Linked DNA regions of Tamandua tetradactyla. The protein of the gene in region 2 purifies or fractionates together with the protein of the main gene of each other region. This does not show direct contact. Links are inferred from orthologs where the notes say so. Each region holds a gene or a part of one and is shown on either strand. Other genes may lie near its edges.

Region 1 (10,426 bases), on a different chromosome or scaffold from region 2:
GGTTATTCTTACGCATTAAATAGATATCACCTATTTAGTTAAGGTGTAAAGGAGAGGCTGGAGGGAACTGCCTGAAAATGTAGAGCTGTGCTCCAGTAGCCATGTTTCTTGAAGATGATTGTATTATGATATAGCTTTCACAATGTGACTGTGCGGTTGTGAAAACCTTGTGTCTGATGCTCCTTTTATCTACCTGATCAACAGATGAGTGGAACATATGGATTAAAAGTAAATAAATTTTAAAAAAGTAAATAAATAATAGGGGGAACAAATGTTAAAATAAATTTAGTAAATTGAAATGCTAGTGATCAACGAAAGGGAGGAGTATGGAGTATGGTATGTATGAGGTTTTTTCTGTTTGCTTTCTATTTCTTTTTCTGAATTGATGCAAATGTTCTGAGAAATGATCATGATGATGAATATACAACTATGTGATGATTTTGTGAGTTACTGATTATTTAACAAGAATGGAATGATCATATGGTAAGAATGTTTGTGTTTGTACTGGTTATGTTTCATAAAAAAATGATTATGGTGGAGAATACAGAACTATGTCATGATATTGTGAGCCATTGATTGTATATCATGTATGGACTGTGTGTTTGTGAAGATTTGTCAATAAAAATATTAAAATAAAATGAAATACTGGAGAGTAAAAGAGATATCAATTTAATGATTCAGCATTCGGATTCATTTGTTAAATCCTATCTTCTCTGTTCATTTGTTAAATCCTATTTCTCTGTATAACTCCACCATCACCTTTGATTTTCCATCCTTCTCTTTAGGGGTGTTTGGGCTATGGGAATTGTAAATTTTTCATATTGGAAGGATCTGTCACTAATATGGGGTAGGGAGATGGAACTATTTGATGTTCTAGAGAGGCTGGGCTAGGTTTCAGGACTTATCTGGACCAGGGACCCATCTGGAGGGTGTAGGTTTCTGGAAAGTTACTCTAGTACATGGAAAGTTTATGGAATCTTATATATTGCTCTAGGCATTCTTTAGGATTGGCTGGAATGGTTCTGGTTGGGGGTTGGCAGGTTATGATAGGTATCAATGTCTAATTGAAGCTTGCATAAGAGCCACCTCCAGAGTAGCATTTCGGCTCTATTTGAAGTCTCTCTGCCACTGATAGTTTATTAATTACACTTGTTTCCCCCTTTTTGGTCAGGATGGAATTGTTGTGCCTCATTTTTATCCATATGTTCTCTCTGTGTGACTCCCACTCCCACAGCTTCACTATCATCCATATGCTGACAACAGTTGCATCTGTAACTTTCATCTTGAGCTTGTGGTGCACGCTAGTCTTGTATTTTCAACAGTCCATTGGTTATCTCACTTAACATTTCTCTCGACCTTGAAATTCAACTTGTCAAAACTACTCTTCTAAAAGGTCCCCTTTTCTTATTTTCTAACACAGTTGCCCAGCCTAGAGAAATATTATGATCACATCTGCCTTTTTACTTTTCTTCACTCAGCACCATCCATATCTATTTCCTGTTACTTCAGCTTCCAGAATGCCTCTGGAATCTGGTCCCTGCTCTTCACTACTACCATTATTTTATTAAAGACCCTTATCATCTCTTAACTGAATGAGTTCAGGAGCTTTCTATAGCAAACACTTGTATTTTGGAGGCTCTTTGGTGTCTGAAGCAACTCCTTTTATTCAAGAAATCCACTATTATTGAATATATGTGGAAGGCAGGGTGCTACTTCCAACTATGGATGGCTAAGAGTCAATATTTTCTTTCCCTGACATCTGGAAGCTAGACTATTGGATGAAAAACAGCAACTTCAACTGGAAGTAACTGCTAATTGTCTCCCATTATTTGTTCTCTTTTCTTTTATAGATCTTCAAATTCTTAGGTGGGTTTATGACTGCCCAGAATAATGACTATATTTCTAGCATCACTTACAGCCATGCGTGGCCATGGACTAAGTTCTGGCAGGTGGAACTTAAGCTGATTTGAGCATTTTCCAAGATGTCTTCTTATGTGTGTATGTGCACACACACACACACACACACACACACACACATTCATCTGCCCAAAGCCCATCTCGAATGTCACTTTTCTGTGATGTCTTCCCTGAACGCCTACAGGGAGAAATAATTGTTTTTGATTTTGTGCTTCCACCATCCTTTTTCTCAGTCATGAATATAACTTCATCTTGTTTTGTAATCTTTAATTGTATCTGAATCTGTTTCTCCTGTATGACTCTGAGCAATCCTGTGTTATTAATGTGTATAATAACAGCACCCAGAATAGTATCTGACACATATTAGCAGCTCAAAACTGTTTGCTGAAAGAGGAAAGCAAAAAAGGGAACACTTTTGAAATTGTGGTTTGTGTGCTTATCAAAGAACTATATTTTTATCTAGTTATTTCACAGCTAAAGGAAATCCAGCATCAGAGAGGCTAAGATGACTTACCCAAGGTAATTTGACTTTCCTTGATCCCAGCTTCATTTTAACAGGTAAACCTAAGATCCTTTCTGGCTGAGTTCTTTTGAACCTGTTAGTTAAATGGTCAAATAGTAGAGAAATGACCAAAGATATTCAATTGAATGTAAAGTCAAGTTTCTTAAATCAAATTATACTGAAGGCTTCTGGTGCTAGTATCACTCCTGTTTGATGGCAAATGGATTCTATTGAGGAAGGAAACGATATAAGGAAATGATATAAATTGAAGAACTTTAGAGAAGAATATAATCTTTTTTTTAAAAGCATAACAGAAGTCTATTTTCTTTTAACAGTTTGATATATTAACTGAAAAAAAGGAACAAAGCAAATATAAAAGGGTGGAATGAAATGTAATTATAACTTAACAGTAAGTAGAATTGAAATTTATCAAAATTACATTTTGTAAGAATATAATCTTGATATCATCCTAGCCAGAGCAATGTCAAGTTTTAGAGAAGGAACACCTTAAGAAGCTGTGGAATTAAATGCCAAAGGAAGGAAAAGATTTCGCTCATTGCAAAAACCAGAGAAAATTGCAGATAAAAAGCAAATGAAAAGCATCTAGGTAGTAGACACTTCAGATTGTAAATAATTGTTAAAGTCTTTAAGACAATCATCATAAAAGCCTAACAATGTGATAGTGTCAAAGGCTGATAGACTAAAACTTTCAAGGCGACTGTAAGATTTGACTAGGAATTTTTTAAAGGAGTAATGAGGTAAGAAATATTAAGAGAGAATTGAAAATATCTTCATGCGTTTAAGTGATGGCGGGGTTGGGTTGGGGTGGGGGACTCCAGAATTTCTATATAGGTGGGAATTAAAAGTGGTGACTTAGCTTGAGAGAGTGTCCAGGGGGTTTATCTTGAGGATGAAGAAGCATATGATTTATATTTTATGAAACATATGAATAAACACATCAAGAATTTCTAAAAATGCTTTTACCTATGTTTTACCAAAGAATGAGAAAATGTCATTTGTCCATATCAAGGAATACAGTTTAAAATGTCCACTCCTTCTCTCTCATAAACTCCATGAGCCCACCCCCCTCCCTCCCTTCCCATCACAGACCTCTTGATATCACCTTGGCTTTGCTGGTCAGAAAAGTCTGAAAAACTGAGGCAGTGGCTGGAGAAAAGACTGGTATGATTTAGGAGAGAAACCAAAGACAAATTGCACACCTATCAAATAAATTTAGAATTAGAATATTTCAAGGGATTAGAAAATTTTCCCTTACTCATTAAGGGACAGTTTAATGGGGAAGTGGGTGGAGGAAAGGAAGATTTGTACCATGCCCTGAGACTCAGTAGACTAGAACCTTCTCAGACAGAGAGAGAGCTTTGGGAGATGAGCCTTTGCCCTTTTGGAAAGGGCCTCATCACTTTCTTTTAACAAAATGCAGAACATTTCCATGTCATATCCTGGATCATAACGACAAATCTGGTGTCCATAATATCTATCACAACAATAGAGGGCTGAATGCCAACACTGGGGTATGTATCAAACCAATACCCAAATGAGTACATCATTAAAAGAAGTATGTTTACTAAACAATGCATACCCAAGACATTGAATGTGGAAGTATTAGATAAATACAGGGTGTTATGGGTTTATTAAAGAAGGAGGTTCATTTCAGGAATCCAATTTAGAATTTTTAAGGCAAGGCAGGGGCTAAAAATACTTGGATCTTCAACCAAAACTTTTAGAGAGAATTCTGTTCTCTTTTAACACAGAAATGGGGGCTTTTTTTGGTACAGGATTTGACTAAGGAAAAAGCTTTTTTTCCCCTTTTCTGGCAAACCAGAGCCTCAATGAGCTTTCAGAGATAGGTACATTCTTATATGTGAATATAAGAATATTTCACAACAGTAATTTTCAGGCAGAAAAATTTCCCAATAATATTAGATGTAGTTTCACCCTCTGTAAATATTGTTGAATGACCAGAATCTAGAATTTGTAGGGAAGGAGTTTAAGATTCCACATTATGATCTTTCTTTCTTTTTTTTTTTTTTACGTGGGCAGGCACCAGGAAGGGAACCTGGATCTCTGGCATGTCAGGCGCGACCTCTGCCTGCTGAGCCACTGTGGCCCACCCCTATATTATGATTTTAAGTTTACGTCTTCCTAACTGAGCCCCTAGGTCTCATGGTGGGGTGCTAACTAAAGTGGCTACCTTTAGTTCCAAGAGACTGGGAAACCAGGCTAACCATTGCAATCATGGGTTAAATTTAAATTTAGTCAGAAGTAAATAATTTCTGTAAAAGACTGAGGAATGGAGATAGGAAAATATGACATTTGCAGAACATAATGGAGGAAAGTTGGTTCTGAAATCATGGGGGGTTGCTAATGGCTGAGTTGTAAAATTTTCACCAGCAAAGAGTAATGTTATTCTATGGATATTAATTTGTAGGACATTTCCTCTTGGTGCCTTTTATTCATCTCAATCATCAATGTTTCTTTAAATACCCATTGTGCACTATTCTGTACCTAGAATATGAAGAGTTTTGCATTAACTTTTCTTAAAAGAAGAAATGTTAATCAGCTTGCTAATAGTTTAAGACAAGTGAACAGAGATTTAAGGGATCTGTGCATTACTAAAGAAACAGAAGTGGGTGTAATCAGCATAAAAGTGGCTAAATTGTGAAACCATGCTAAGTGGTGTGTGTGGGGTGTAATGTAATAACACGTTGCACACGGTGCGCCTTTGGTCTGTGCACCTCAAAGTGCTTTGCAAACGTTAATTATGCATCACACTTACGAGGCGGCGAGGTAGGGAGGGGAGGGCTTGGACACTGCTGCCTAATCCAGAACTGAACTTCCGACTCTACTCAAGATGCACCAGTCAACCCTCTGTTGTGTTTCTTCACCCCCTTATGGCTGAATCCACCCACTGGTCTTAGTAGCTGTGAGGTCGAAGTTGTGACTACGTCTTCAGAGATAAGGGTTCAACAAGCCCCACCGGCGATGAGGTCGCTCCGGCAGTCAGAGGATGAAACTGGGCTGCCTGGTTTTCCCTTCGGAACCCACTTCCGGGATGCCTCCCCGGTGGGCATCGAGGATGCATGGAATTGTGTAGGAGCTGGGTGGAGGGTGGTCGTGGGCGTGGAGCCGTGCGGTGGCTGGGTGTCTGAAGATTCCTCGCCTCCAGGAGGCCGCGGTGCCGAACGCGCGGTGCCGGGCCAGGAGCTCACGCCGCGGGAGGAAGGAGCTTCCGCGCCGCGCGCCCACCCGCTGCCACACACGCTCGTCGCCCGGCCTCCTCTTTCCTTCTCTCCTCCGCACACACTCTCGGACACACACACACACACACACACACAAACACAGATACACCACACACACACACACACAGAAACATCCACAAGAGCCCCTCTCCCGGCGCCAGGCGGGGGCGGAGCAGAACAGGCGGGAGGAGGCAGGGAGGGAGGGAGGGAGCCAAAGGCGCGAAAACGGCGCGCAGGCGCGCCACGCTCCCCGAGGCGGAGCGCGCGGGGGTGAAACTGACACTTTGGGCCAGTCTCTATGGGGCCGCTCGTGGCCGCACGTCACCGCGCTCCCGGCACGTCACGCCGGCTCGACGCTCCCGGTACAAAGTGTAAGTTTCAATTTTTTTCCCCCGGTGCCACCGCTCCCGGGGTCGCGGCGACGAGCGGGAAGAGAGTGAGGGCGCAGGGTGGTCTGGCCAGGGCGGCCGGGACTCCCTACCCCCGCCGTCCTCGCGTGAGTGCGGGACCCGGGTGGCGGGCCCTCAGCCTCCGCGTCCTGCATCTCCGCCCCCAGCCCCGCGCGCGAGCGTGGACCGGGCGAGCCAGGTGCGGGGCGCCGGCCACCCCCACGCTGCAGGCGAAGGGCGGGTGCGCGCGGGCCGCGGGCGGCCGGGGCTGCCGGAGGGGAGGGAAGAGGATGCCCTGGGGCGGGAACCCGGAGAGGATGGAGAAGGGGGGTGTTGGGTGTTGAGACGCCTGAGTCGCGGGAGGATGGAGCTGGGGGATGGGGCGGAGGGCAGGGCGAGCAGCTGGTCCTGGAGGGAGGGGGCACCGGGTGGTCCGCGGGCGCCCGGCCCGAGAGGCGGTTGTGGGGCGGGCTTGGGTCGGGGCCGGCCGCCGGGCGCGGGGGGCGGGACCACAGCGGCGAGGGGACAGCCCGGGCCGGACTGGTCCCCGGCGGGCCGGCCCCTCGGCCCTGCCCCCGCCTCGCCTGCGTGTGGGCGCCGCGCGCAAGGCTCGGTGTCTCCTTGGGGCTCTTTCCTGGTGCTCTGTGTGCGCCGCACATGTGCAGTCGGTAAACCTTCCCCCACCCCGCACCCCCCACGCCGCCGCGCCGCGCCTCATTGTAGCCGCTGCAGTTGGTGGTGGGCTGCGGGGCTCGCCGCCGCCGTTCGCTGGGTGGGGGGGTGGGCGGCCGGGGGAGGAAGCTGCTCTCCAGGTGACTTGACCTCGGCTGTAGGATGTGGAATGGAAGAGAGGGGGTGCGGGTGGGGAGTAGGACGCGATTGGGCGGGAGAGGGCCCGGCCGAGGCGAGCGGGTGGTGGGGCTGTTGGGGGACTCGGCTCGTTGCCTGGGAGGGCACGGTGGGGGATCGGATCAGCCGCGGGGAGTCCCCGGGTTGGGGCAGGCGGGGCGGCAGGGCCGGAGCTAGGCCCTCAGGCCCCGGATAAGCATCGTCGCGCGCCCCTCGCCCGCCCGGGGACGCGGGGCCAACGGGGAGGGGGTCGGGGGGCGCCTGTTGCCGGGAGGTGCACCAGGCGCGGGTGGTGGCGGGCGGCTGGGTTGCAACTGCAGCCGGATCCGTCCCGGGCCCGAGCGCGCCGTCCGCGCTCGGGCCCGGGAGGCCGGATCCGCTCCGGCCTGCAGCGAGAGCCTTCGGGAGGGGACGGGGAGGGGCTGACCCTTCCACCGACCTGGTCCTTTCGGGAGCTCCGGGCCGAGGACTGCCGGTTCCGGTGGCGGGCGGGGGAAGGGAGGCTCCTCTCGGTGGAGGTGGCTCCTGAGGCCTAGTGACAGGTCAGGGACCCGGGCGGGCTGGGGGCGTGGAGGTTGAGGGTGGGGGGCTTCGAGCGGTTGGGACTGGCTAAGGTGCCTCTGGAAGCCCACCTGTCAGAGTTAACAGTCTAACCAGGCTTGAATCAGCCACTTGGAGACTGACCACGGTGGGAGAGAAGACCCTCTCAAGAGTTCTTTTGGGATGGATTTCCCTGCGTACTTGTCTTTGTGCAGGGACATAAAAGGGAGTTATATTCCTGTTGGGTGAATATGTGGCAGCTTAGGTTTGCGCATATGTGTGTGTGCCTCGGTTGGCGAAGGGTAGAGATATGTGAGATGAATGTACCTACTGGTATAATTAATGTTATAGGTGAATGCTTTAGAAATGTGAAGGTAATCCAGGCATGTGTGTTCAGGGGTTTTTACCCATTGCTTCTTTGGGTGATCTTGGGAAAAAGTTATGGTACAGTGGCAATGATTTTGGATAATGGAGTTTCTGCATCCTGGTTGTATATGGGATTGTCAATTTAAAGTATGTTTTCAGTTGCTGAAATGACTTTTAAAGTCGTAAGTATGAGTTTTGACTGTTCTATTTTCAGGATTGAGTAAGGGTATGCAATTAGGAAAGGAGGTTCTTGTTTCCTGGAAGCACAGTTGAAGTGGTGGTGGGGAAAATGTCTCTGTAAGATGTGATATTTTATTTACTGACTTCTTTTTTATTCTTATTCATTTCTTGTTTTTCCTTCTTTCTTTCTTTCTTTTTTTGTTTGCCAGAAAAATCATTGTTTCTTCTCTGGAGGGCGAACACTTAGAGAATTGATTTCACGGATCTGGTAACATGGCAAAAGATGTAAGTACATGTTATAAATACTTACCTAGCTTTAATAGTGAGAAGTAAGGAAGTACTAAATTCTTTGTAGTTTTCCCACTTTTTTGCAGAGTGACAGCACATAAACTACAATAGTGTTTGTTTTTAAACTTTTAAAGCAGATGAAACAAGATAAAGGTGAAAAAGAACAAAGAAATCTAGTAGCCTACGTGAAGATGTATGACTTCTCCCTTTGTGTTTTTTGTAATCATGAATGCCTGATGATAAATATTATGTGGTGCTTAAATGATATTAATTTCACTTTTTCTTAATCTTTTCAGACTGCATTAAATTTATAATTTTGAATATATTTATTAAGGCATTCCTTAATTAAATAGAGAGGGGGAATACAAAATTAAACGAGATGGAGAATACAAAATAGTTATGTCGTGGGAGCTCAGTAGTTGCTGGCTCTGTACCTTTTTTCTGATGCTCAGCAGAGAAGGGCGCTATTTACTTCGGATGAAAGTCCCTGCAGAGATCTGGAACTGGGGAGCATTGCTTATCATGAACAGAATGACCCTAAACTTAGGTTGTAAACAGTGTGTACCTGTTTTGTGTAGAGTGAAGGGAATTAATTCAACTTTGAACGTCAACGTGTTTTGGCTACTTTTCCCCCCAGAAGAATGAGATTTGGTTATTAACGAAATGCTGTGAAGAACGCTAGTTACTTTACCTCACTTTGTATCTGTTATGAAACTATAGAGTCATTCTGAAATTTTTTTTAACTTGTTTTAAGAAATTAGGTTTGAGATCTGAGACCATAGCCAGTTTTATTGGTCCATGCAGTTTTTTGCTACACTTTGTAAAATCAGTTAAAATCACCTAAACACCAACCATATTCCTTAGTGTTTCTTAGAATGCATTGTTTTGTAAGCATTAGTAAAAGTAAAATAAGCAAATAACATTAGTAAAAAGAAGGTGTTTATTTATTTACTTAAAATCGTAGTTGGAAGTACAACTCAGGCGTACTGCATCTGCCTAAAACACACAGTATGTAATAAAAATGTATTCATACCTGTTGAACCAAATAATAGATGTTAAGCTCTTTGCATTAGTTTAAAAATGTTTACTGACTTTTTAAAAAGTCTTACTGAATGCCTCGTGGTATGCCCCAAACTCTCACTAACAATTCTTTGTCTACTCATGTTCACCAGGATCCCTGTTTTCAAGCATTTCTGGTTTAATTTGGTACAGAGGATGTGTAAGGGGACTCTGTAATTTTTTCTTTTTAAGTTAAAGCCATAATCTGTATATGATGCAACATTGATTTTATCATCTCCAATTACATTTGTCAATGGCCATTTTACGTGCCGTAAAAGTGCAGGGCAGCAGGACATGTGGTATATACTCTAGAAACAGAATATTTAAATGCTCTTTTAAATGCTGATGCTGCACCTTAATATGTTGGAATATATTTTTGTGTGTTTTGTAGTTTCAAGGAACAGACTTTATTTTTGACTTTATTAAGCACACTTGGATACTTCATTGATGATGTGCTAGAAATGAGAGGAGAGGGAGAGACTTCTTGCTCTCGAAGCCATCAATTCTGCATTGATTTAATTTGGACCCTCCTTCCATGTACCAGATACAGTGTTAGACTCTGGGAATGTAGAGATAAATGCATCAAGGCTTCTGCTCTCTAAGTTGCAGGGAAAGATTCAGACAGTTTACTCTAATGTGATCACTTCTGGAGGAGCAACACCTGTAAGGTGCTGTGGCAGCCAGAGCAAGGGGTGGCCAAGTGGCTGGGAACATTTTGGATGGTTTACCTTGACCTGATTTTGAATTATCCTTTGCAGCACTGGTAGATTACACAGTGGAGGACTGGAGAAGAGTGCGTTAAGATGACAATCACCGGGGTATTTCAGGCAGAGAAATAGCGGTGCTGAAAAGAGGAAGAAATCCAGTGTGAAACCTGGAACCCAGGTTTCATGAGGGGGCTGTTAGCTAGACTGGAAAGGCCTGAAGATTGTGGCCAAGAAGAATTTGGCCCTTTATTCTGTAACCAAAAAAAAAATTTTTTTTTAAGTAGGGGTAAGGCATTTGTGTTTGGTAAGGATGACTTTGGCAGCAGGTATTGGAGAGGAAAATAGAGCAGTAGTTTAAAAACATTTTCT
Region 2 (11,033 bases):
ACACCCAGAGTCTAACAGAATCAATTCTGTACCAAGCCTCCAAGTTGAAGACAGAAAGCAATCATGACGTGAACAACATTGAAGAAATTCGATATAGTTGGTTTCTTTGAGGTTTCTTCAAAATGTGAATTCTATATAGTTTACTCCCATTTCATAGAAACTGAAATAATTCATTCCTTTTAGCAACAATCACATCCTAACCATAACACTGTATTTAGAGTAAACAAATTTTTTTTAATGCAGAAATTTCACCTCTTTGGCTGACACATAAAGGAAAGATTTATTAATACTACCTCATATACAGAATTTGGTTCAGTTCTAAGTGTTGCTGATTTGACAAGACTCTAAAATTTTACAGAAGAAACAAAGAAATATCTATCTTGCTCACCATTAAATGTCTAGTACCTAGCTCAGGCCTTGAAAAAGTAAAATACTCAATAAACATTTGCCGAATACTAAATGTCGAAGGGGTTGAAATGAGATACGAACCCAGGTTCCCAGACTCCTTCATCCAATATCTACTGCTCTTTCTACTGTATGAAACCTTTTCACAGTTCTCTAAAATATCACCTATGAGGAATCTAAAGGAAAATTTGCCCCAAGAAAACAGGCAAAGAGGAAATCATACTTGCAAGCCTATTATGTACCAGGCATTTTATTTTATAGGTTCTTACTTTGACCATAGTTCAAAACCAAACCAAATAACTTTATCACTTTCATTTTCAAATGCATGTTACCTGAATTAAGCAATGAAATGATTTTCCAATTATATACAACGAACTGATAATAAGATACTAGTCTAAAGCAATCACCATACATGATTACTGTCCTTGCTAAGTATTTCTTTTTCTCTGATAATTCAGAATGGTTCATTTCCCAATGTTCCTTAGGTTTACATCTATGACACTGATTACCGTATAAGAAATTAAGATTTGTAGCACCCATGACAATCATTTAGGACCACAGATTTTTCTTTTTTACTTTTTTCTGTCAGTTTGATATTTATCACATTTCTCTCACAAAAGCACGATGCAGAAAACATCAGGTATTTGAGCTATCTAGTTATTGAGGTTCTGGTTTCATAAAAAGTTTAACAGATCAAATAAACTCATTAAGCCCAGCAAGCACAAAAATTGAAATTCAATCATAGGCACATAAATATAAAGAATATAACATCAATTTATTGGTTAAGGAATCGAATCACATTTTATTTTGAAATACATACTATGAATGCAAGCTCATTTCATTCCATATACTGTTATTCTGAACATGACCTACCAGGGATATAGACAAAGGAAATGATCTTCTGTTTAAAAGGATTTGAGCCAGATATTCTTAAAAACAAAAGGTCAATAAAGACTTTGATGGGGAATGATGAATTCATTTTTCTCTAGAGATTTAAAGAAAAGATTTTCAAATGTCTAGGATGGCTTAGACTTGGCCTCACTTTTGGAGACTGAGACAGAATCAGTTTAAAGGTCAGGTTGACCCAAGGGATTCAAATCCTGTGTGTCAGTCACACAAATCATTAGCAAACTACATCCTTCTGTACTGCAGCTACCTAATCCTTGCTTTGGTACTATGCAGCCGTTCCCTTCAAATTAACCTAATTACTAATTAATGTCAGTAGAGAATTATTTATTCCAACCACTCCAACTTTTGCTTCTCAATGTATGCTACAATCCTGTTTCCTAGTATCACCAGAGAGGAAAATATTTTGTGGTACAATCAATATCTGTCCTATTAACAATGTCCTGTTCTATTGTTCCATCCAAACATGGATTCCACTCTAAATTTCAGAAACAACAGTAGGAAAATAAAAGATAATAAAGAAATTAGAGCTCATAGGTTTAACTTAGGGCCAAAATCAAAAGAGAAGAGACAATTCAAGAGAGGAAGGAAGAAGCTGAGAGGATCGCAGTGTAGAAGAACACTTACTTTTAGGAACAGAGTGTCCCTTAGACTTCTGGTGAGTTGCCCAGAGCCTCTTCAGTTTCAATCCAAATGACAATGCTTCTCTGAGTCCTCCTCAAGTAATGTTTCGACCACTAAAAATTGGATCTACAAGAGCTCAGAAGTACCGGTAAAAAAATGTCAGGGGCCCTCATGTGGGCCTCATGCCTCTTTTAAACTAGGCCCACTTCTCTGTCCTGGGCCAACTTCCCTGTGCACTATATTCCTTCTTCTTCCAGGTGCCAGGTATTCAGCCTGTTTCTTCTCTTCTGAGCTGCCACCACCTACTCTATTTCTCAGGGTTTCTCTAACCCCAAGACTGGCTGTGGAGTAGTAGGACACCAGCTTCCCCCCTTCCTTGCTGTCCCTGCAAATAAACATATAGGCTCTTCTAGTTTCAGTATTTTTCTAATGGCTAAAAGAAAATAGAGAGGGAACAACAAAAAGCAACAATATAGTACCAGAGATTAAGATTATAATAATTGTTTCCACTTTAAAATTCCTGCCTCCAAAAAAAATTTTTTTTCTAAGAATTGCTTATAAGCATTTAAAATAGTATAAAATGCTTTCATAGATATACAAATATAATCTAAGCTAACTCCAACCTATTTACCCATAGAGATACTCTACTTTTCAAAATACTTAAATCACGGGTCCAAAAGTGGTTACTATGTTCATTTTAGCAAATTGGTACTTTTCTATTTTTGAACTTTTCTGTTGTTTTAGTTCCTTAAATTTAGCAGTAGATATTTGAAAGTGTCCTTTATAAAGGATATCGTGAAAATGTTAAATATACTGTATCCACTGTAAAAGGAATATGCAAAAAGCATTTCATGATTTACAAAAAAGGCACATAAAAAAAGTTAACTTCACTGAGAAAAACCTTAAAAATCTAAACTTTTGTTTAAACATGTTTAAAATTTAAACATTTATCTCCACGTTAGAATTTTTTAATAAAATGCTATAAACGGTGTTTAAAAATCAGGGTATCAGGCAGGCCAAGGGTGGCTCAGCAGGCAGATTTCTTGCCTGCCATATCAGACACACAGGTTCGATTCCTGGTGCCTGCCCACGTGCAGAAAAAAAAAAAAAATCTGGATATCTCATTTTTAGAATCTAATCCTGATTGAATATTTAAATCCAATGTCAACATTATTTAGGCCCTCTTTTTTGCAGCATTAGTATATTTATTACTGTGATAATTTAATCACTAACAGACTGAAATCAAAATACAAATATTATCTAAATATTAAGCCATAAATCAGAGGACTGAATTAAACTGAATTAATTGAAAGGCAACCTTTCTGTAAAAGCAAAGGAACTTTGTAAGTAAGAGCTGGTGACAAGAATGTCATTAACTGACTACCCCGGATGATTTTCTTTATCCACTTAATTCACTTATGTAGCTTTTTAAAAGACAGAATTATTACATTGTAAGCCTACAAAACAGCGTTAAAACTGAAAACAGGCAGAGAACATTTCATCTCATTTTAACGTCTAATTGATTGCCATTTAATCGAAGTAAAGATATTCAGATAATTTCAGTAAAAATGCGTTTCTATTGATTGGCTCAGCTCCAACTACTTATCTATAAAATATTAGAGAAGTGGAATAAAAACACCAAACAAACCTTGATCTGACCCTTCCAGGCACTCATTTATAAAAAAAGAAATCTGATCTACTGTGCATTCTACAATCAGACACTTTTTTTTTCTTAAGGAACGAAATTAAATTACACCCTTTGCTCCTAAATTGGATTTCATGGTTTTTCCTTGATCCCCACACACTAACACAACAATGCGGCCAACATTATTATATCCGGGGGAAGGGAGGAGGGCATTACACTCTGCGATACGAATTAAATCGCAGTAGCTAATGTCTCGCTTAAATAATTTATTCTCTCTTGGCAATAAAAAACGTTGCAGCCTCTTCAATTACCCCACACCGCAAACCATCACTTGGGTCGCGATCAATCTGACCCAATTCCTATCGCGGCCACCACCTCAGTCTCGCCTCCTCTTGCCCGGTCTGCGAATGTCACGGGAAGGGGCGGCAGCCGCAGGGTCGTCCTCTGCGCCGCGATCAGTCAGCCGGCCGCGCGCGGGGCAGGACTCACCGGGTGGAGGTGCCCTTCCGCACATCGCACATCATGCACTTGAAGGCCTCGGCACTGTTCCGGAAGGTGCAGACGCTACAGTCCCAGTAACCCTCATCCGAGGACGGCTTCGGCTGCCGCTTCGGCCTGCAGGACACAACCCGGACACGACGCGGCGCAGGGTCACCAACAGGCCGCGCCCGCCGCCCCCGCTCCGCGGCCGCCCCCGCCCCGCCCCCCGGCCCCAATTCTGCGACCCCCCCAGCCCGCCCGCCAGCGGCGCGCAGCGCTTCGGCTCCGAGAGGGAAGAGGAGTGGGAGTCAAGAGCCGGGAAGGCGCGAGCGCCGCTGCAGCCGCCGCCGCTGACACAGGGGGTTGCCTCTCCGGCCGCCGCCGCCATCGCGGCTCCATTGTGGGGCGGCCGGCGCCAGCCCCTCACGCGCCAGCGCTCGTGGAGCAGCGGCGCCGCCCCCGTTCTCGTCCGGGTGCCCGGGCGGCGAACGAGGGGGCCCGCCCCAGCCCGGCACGAGGGCGCTGCCGCCGGCACAATCCGGGCCCCGGGGCCTTGGCGCTCTTACCTGGTGGGGCTCTTCTTGTCTCCCATGGCTTGGCTATCAGTGCACGCCGAGAGTCGCCGCCGCGGCAGCTCTGTTTATCAATAAGAAAGATAATAAGCCGGGCGGAAGCGGGCGGGGAAGGGAGGAGGGAGGGGGCGGGGAAGGCCGCACCGCCGAGCTGGGAAGCTGCCGCCGGATCCCACGCAGCCTCCAGCTGTCGGGGAAACTCCTGCCTGGGAGCACGTGACCCGCGCGCGCCAACCAGAGGCCGCGCCGGAGACTTCAAACGCTGCCAGCGCGGCCCAGCACCCGCGGCGAGTTCGCTGGCTGCGGGCGTTGCGGGGGCGGCCGCCGCAGCTTTAGGCGGCGTCGCAGCTTCTCGGTCCTGTTCCAGGCGCTTCCCTTCGGCATCCCGGCTGGCTGTGGATGTCGCGTGATGTAGATCCCCTCTGACCCTTTGAAGCGTCTGTCCAGCCGGCCAGAGGAGATGTTCCGTCATCCCGCTCAAAGCCTGGTCAAAGGTGGGGCTAGCCTTCTCGAGGTCAGCCCGGCTCGGGACCACGAGTGCCCTGCCGGGCGGCCCTTAGCCACTCAACACCCCTCCCCAAAGGATACCTGAAGGCAGGCAGGAACCAACAGTGAGCGCCATTGCTAGGTGTCTTAAAAACAGTCTGGTTTAATCTACGCAAATGCTCGTAAGGATTGTTGCTCTTAGTTTAAAGGAAGAAACCGAGGTTCAGGAGAGGTTTGGTGACGTCCTCTAGGTTACATAATTAGAAAATGGCAAAAACAGGACTCTAACCTGTTTTGATTCCAAACGCGCTTCTTTGGCCGTAGAGACCTCTGCAGGAGATGCTCTTAAAAGAAAACGAATACTTATAAGCCATGTTTTAAGATAATAATATGCCTGGAACGTTGTTGCCTAAGAAGGGAACGATGTTGCCTGTTCACGTATTCTCCCAGAGTCTCATTACCTCAAATACTGAAGGACCTTTTCACCTTGTGAAAACAAGATAGATTCGAGCAACAGCTGTTTAACTAGCGGTCTCTAAAGCTCTAGCCCTGCCATCCCATGTATTCAGTAAATCACAACCAGATTAATTATAAAAGGCTGTTAACAAGGCGGCCCACGGTGGCTCAGCAGCAGGGTTCTCGCCTGCCATGCCGGAGACCTGGTTAGATTCCTGGTGCCTGCCCATGAAAAAAAAAAAAAAAAAAAGGCTATTAAAATTGTGCCACAGCTCTGCTCAAAAACCTAACAGGTTCCAAACTCTGCCAGGCCTTTCTCAAATTTCCCTTAACTCCCCATCTTTCTTCAGAGAAGTTGCCTTCTAGCAAACACTGATAGGTTATATTCAATATTTCCCTTCCCAAAACTCTCCCTTCGTGCACATTTTACGTCTACACTGAATATTTCCTTCTTTCCTCTGTGCCTGTGCTATTTCTGCCCATTTTTCTAGGTTCACTTCAATAGGATAATATTATATAAAATGATTATAAATATATGAAATAATATTATAGTTAGTAGGGTCTTAATATAGAAGAAACACGCTGGCGTGCCCTCTCACACATACACAGAACAGTACAGAGTCCTGGGTTCTCGGCTTGGTTCACTGTTCCTTAACCAATGAGCCTTGGAAAACTTGATTAATTTCTGTAATTCTCAACTGCATCTGCAAAATGACAGCTATATTTATGAGGTTATTGTGGGATTAAAAATTATTTAAAAAAAAACAAAACAATTTTGAGCACCACGTTGCCAGGCACTTTGCAAATCTTTTTACATAGATGCATACTTTAAAGAGCTCAAAGTGCTATGAAATGTTAGTTCTCACCATCTAGTTGCATACCTTCGTTTTAAAGACAAGGAGTTTAGGGCCTGGGTTAAATGGCTTCTCTTTAATGAATTTTTCAAGTTTAGCACTCAGATATCCTATTAGTCTCCCACTAAGCTATGCTTTCTGATTAACCATATCAGTCCAATTTACAGCGGTCTCTGAACTTGTAGCACCATTTTTTCTTTTTGCAAGTGTTGCTTCTCTCAACTCAGACTGTTTCACCCTAGAAGGCGAGACTATGATTGAGGAAAGCATGGATCTAAGGCCTAGTTTTCTCAGCCTTATAGTTATATAAGAGATAGTTACATCTCTCAGTAATACAGCAGTAAACACAGTTAGGTTTCAGTTTTATTTCCATCTGTAAAATGAAGTTAAAACAATTATAACAATTCAGGTCCCTTCCAATCCTAAGGCATTATGTTTTAAATTCTTCAACTGGATGGATCATCAAAAAGATTGACTAGAATCGGTCTGCTTGTAAAAGGGATGCAAAATGTATTTTTGAATAAATAGAAAACTAAATCAGGCACTCTAAAAACGCTCCATGCTGTAAATCACCATTTTGCTAGAATATAAACTCCATCACTAGAAATTAAACTTCACCTCTAAATCGTAAGCTCAGAAAGGGCAGGCACTTTTATTTGTTGTCTTCGTCACTGCATCCCTAGTTCTAGAAGTCTGGCAGGTAATAAGCACTCAATAACTAGTCTGAGAATGAATAAATTCACCTGTGTCACAGTTCTTGAATAAAGTGTTTTTTCATACTGGTTTCACAGCCTTTTAAGCATATTAGCATGCAGTAGATGCTCAGTAAATGCTGGTGTTTATAACAAGTCTGCAAACTGAAATTTACAATTTTGCAAGACAGTTCTTATGGAAGAACGAGGAATTAGACCCAGTTTCTGTGGAGTGCAAAAGCAAATGCCTTGCAATCTACTAGCTGCCTACCATTTACTGGGTACATCTCTTTTAAAAATTCCTTCCTATTTTAAGCTTACATGGAGACACCAGTACAAGGAGCACCTCCTCCTACTTCACCACAAAAGTCACACCATTTTTCCTGAAATGTTTTCCCTACTATCTGGAAGAATGACCCAGGTTTAGATGACTCTTTGATACAATAACAAAGTTCCATCCTTTAGAAATGCAGTTCACTGGCATCACTTGTAAAGTGACATGAGTACTTTAACAATACTTTTAACAGTTTGGCAATAAAGTTCTGATATTTTCTAATGAAATTCTTTAACAATTTTAAAGAAATTAAAAGGTCATCGCTATAATAATATTCATTTCCATTCTAATACGATTCCTAGAATTGGAGAGACTGGAGAAGTTTCTGAAACTGCATGGCTTCACATGCACAGGTACACAGTAATATATTGTCTGTGGAGGTGTCAAAAAAGATCGAGAACTTCTGTCTTAGTTCAAGAGATTGACGGTAGGATCCCTGAGAACCCAGGCTCTTCTGCTTAGCCCTGAGTTTATGTCTATGAGGCAAACACAACAATTAAAAAAATATACAAAAAACTAAGCTTTAAAGATGAGTATAGTTATTAGACAACAGAGGTTGCCTGAAATGAGGAGTGCCATCTTTGTTTGTTTATCAACTGGAATTTGAGAGAAAAGAGCGTGACTTGTGACTAAGGGAGAAGCTGAACCACAAACCTTCCCTGAGAATAGAATGCAAAATGAAGAAAGTCAGTAATAAGCCACAATTGTAAAACCAATCACATTTTAAAAGGTTGTTTGGTTTTTGTTTGTTCAATCAGTTGTTTGTTTGGTTTTTGCAAAATGAAAATACCTTTACTGATTTTGCTGGTTATAAAAGTTATATGTTGCCAGCATAAAAACTTCACTGAAGACTCTTGTGTGTGTGTGTGTGTGTGTGTGTGTGTGTGTGTGTGTGTGTGTGTGCATGTGCACATAAGGTTGACTGGCTTATTTTTTTTAATAGATTTATCTTTTAGAGCAATTTTAAGTTTACAGAAAAATTGCAGAATACAGAGAGTTCCAATATACTCTCTCTCCTCCACGCACGCAGTTTCTCCTGTTATTAACATATTGCATTAGTTAGACATTTGTTATAACTTACAAACCAGCATTGATACATTATTAACGAGAGACCATAGTTCCCTCTTTGTTCTACATTTTTATTGGTTCAAGCACATAATGTCATGTATCCACAATTACAGTATCAAACAGAATAGTTTTACTGCTCCAAAAATACCTCTTACTCCACCTTTTTATCCCACCCCACCCCCCACTCACCCCAGCCCCAAGCAACCACTGATCTTCGTTTGCTATCTGCCAGAATGCAATATACCAGAAACAGAATGACTTTTTAAAAGGGGAATTAATTAAATTGCTAGTTTACAGTTCTAAGGCCAAGAAAATGTCCCAATTAAAACAAATCTATAGAAATGTCTTATCAGGCATCCAGGGAAAGATACCTTCGCTAAAGAAGGCGATGATGTTCAACATTTCTCTCAGCTGGAAGGGCACACGGCAAACACAGATCATCTGCTAGCTCTCTCTCCTGGCTTCTGGTTTCATGAAGCTCCCTGGGAGGCATTTTCTTTCTTCATCTCCAAAGGTTGCTGGCACGTGGATTCTCTGCTTCATGGTCCTGCAGCATTCTTTGCTCTCTCCGAATCTCCTCCTTCTCCAAAATGTTTCCCTTTTCATAAGATTCTGGTAAACTAATCAAGACCCACCCAAATGGGTGGAGACATGTCGTCACCTAATCCAGTTCAACAACCAGTCTTGATTAAATCACATCTCCAGGGAGATGATCTAATTACAGTTTCAAACATACAATACTGAATAGGGATTAGAAGAAACGGCTGCCTTTACAAAACGGGATTAGGTTTAAAACATGGCTTTTCTAGGGTACATACATCCTTTCAAACCAGCACATATAGTTTTATCTTTTTGAGACTATCATAAGGTGTAATCATATAGTATGTAGCCTTCACAGACTTTCTTTTACTTAGCAATATTCATTTTTTTCATGACTTGATAGCCCTTTTTTAAAAAGTCACTGAATAATACTCCATTTTATCAATGTACTAAAGTTTTTTTATTCATTCACCTACTGAAAAACATTTTATTGCTTTCAAATTTTGGAAAGTATGAGTAAAGATGCTATAAACATTCATGTGCAGATGCTTGTGTGGACGTAAAGTTTCAACTCATTTGGGTAAATACCTAGGAACTCAATTGCTAGATTATATGATAAGCCTAGGTTTATCTTTGTAAGAAACTGCCAAACTGCTGTCCAAAAGGGCTAAGCCATTTTCGTTTTGCCACCGGTAATGAAAGTTCCTGTTGCTACAACCCTTGGCCAGCATTTGGTAGTGTCAGTGTTTTGAATTTTAGCCATTCTAACAGGAAATTGTGGTATCTCATGGTTGTTGTTTTAATTTGCAATTCCTTAATAACAATGTTTAGTGTCTTTACATCTTTGATGATGTTTCTGTTCAGATCTTTCGCCTATTTTTAAATTGGGTAGTTTGTTTTCTTATTGTTACAATGTAAGAGTTCTTTGTATGTTCTGGATACAAATCTTTATCAGATATCTTTTTGCAAATATCTTTTTGCAAATATTTTCTTACAGTCTGTGACTTATCTTTTCATTCTCTTAACAGTGTCATTTAAAGAGCAGAAGTTTTTAAATTTTAATGAAGTCCAACTTATTAATTTTTTCTTTTATGGAGCATGCTATTGGAGTTGTATCTAAAAAGTCATTGCCAGAGGGGAATGCCAAGATGGCGGCTTAGCGAAGTGTGGGACTTAGTTTGTCCTCCAGTACAGCTACTAAATAGCCAGGAACAGTACAGAACAACTCCTAGGGACATGTCAGTGCCCCGACACACAGCATACCCCAGTCTGGACCAGCTGGACCAGCTGCAAGCCCCCCAGAACCATGAATTCCCCAAGCCGTGGCAGCCGGTCCCCCTCCCCCACAGGCTGCTTCCCAGAGGGGAAAGGAAAGGGACTTTACCAGCAGCAGGGGCTGAGCACAACCAAGCTCCAATTGTGGAATTAATTAACAAGTTCTGACTACTAAAAATAGGCCCCCAGCTCAGCTGAATCTGGTCAAAGCGGAGGATGCTGATTTTTGCCCCGGCACCGAGGGGGCAGGGCTGACAGAAAAAGAAAAAAGAAAGAAAGAAACAGAGGTTTTTTTGGATCAGATAGTACCTAATACTTGAAAGGGTCTGGGCTCTGAAGGAAAGGAGCGGTCACGTAGGATCTGAAGGTACACAAAGCAACATACAACTTATTCTCTTGATTGGCAAACCTGAAGAATGGGGGTCCTGCTCCAAGAAGGATTTTTCTCTTTTTTTGCTTTTTGTGGCTGTGTTTCTAAAAGGCTACACTGTCTTTGGATACAGCTGCAAGGCTTCTCAGGCTGCAACTGCCCCAGGCATAGACAGCAACAAGCTTGTTGGAGAGCTTGTCTGGAGCCTGTGCCTTTACCAGGAGAGGGGTGGGGCCCAGCTCAGGTGGATTCCCTGACTCAAGGAATTCAGACCCCAGGGTTTGGAAAATTGAAGCGATTAAATCCAGCCTACAACCTCTCCTCTG

Evidence for each region. The genes of interacting proteins can lie anywhere in the genome.
Region 1: the proteins of YAF2 (region 2) and TFDP1 purify together in Homo sapiens (affinity purification with mass spectrometry; 3 studies listed by BioGRID and IntAct, counting the BioPlex papers as one, with this or other methods). This does not show direct contact. The link is inferred for Tamandua tetradactyla from reciprocal best matches to the Homo sapiens genes YAF2 and TFDP1.

What each region holds. Positions count from the first base shown.
Region 1 is NC_135330.1:184,322,875-184,333,300, forward strand, and holds the start of TFDP1 (transcription factor Dp-1), read left to right. Parts: upstream 1-5,930; 5' UTR 5,931-6,050; intron 6,051-6,060; exon of another isoform or gene 6,061-6,175; intron 6,176-6,244; exon of another isoform or gene 6,245-6,267; intron 6,268-6,607; exon of another isoform or gene 6,608-6,736; intron 6,737-6,858; exon of another isoform or gene 6,859-6,880; intron 6,881-7,322; exon of another isoform or gene 7,323-7,459; intron 7,460-8,212; 5' UTR 8,213-8,276; coding exon 8,277-8,288; intron 8,289-10,426. UniProt on the Homo sapiens protein: Can stimulate E2F-dependent transcription.
Region 2 is NC_135333.1:101,733,204-101,744,236, forward strand, and holds the start of YAF2 (YY1-associated factor 2), read right to left. Parts: upstream 4,832-11,033; 5' UTR 4,653-4,831; coding exon 4,627-4,652; intron 4,196-4,626; coding exon 4,070-4,195; intron 2,321-4,069; exon of another isoform or gene 1,939-2,320; intron 1-1,938. UniProt on the Homo sapiens protein: Binds to MYC and inhibits MYC-mediated transactivation. Also binds to MYCN and enhances MYCN-dependent transcriptional activation. Increases calpain 2-mediated proteolysis of YY1 in vitro.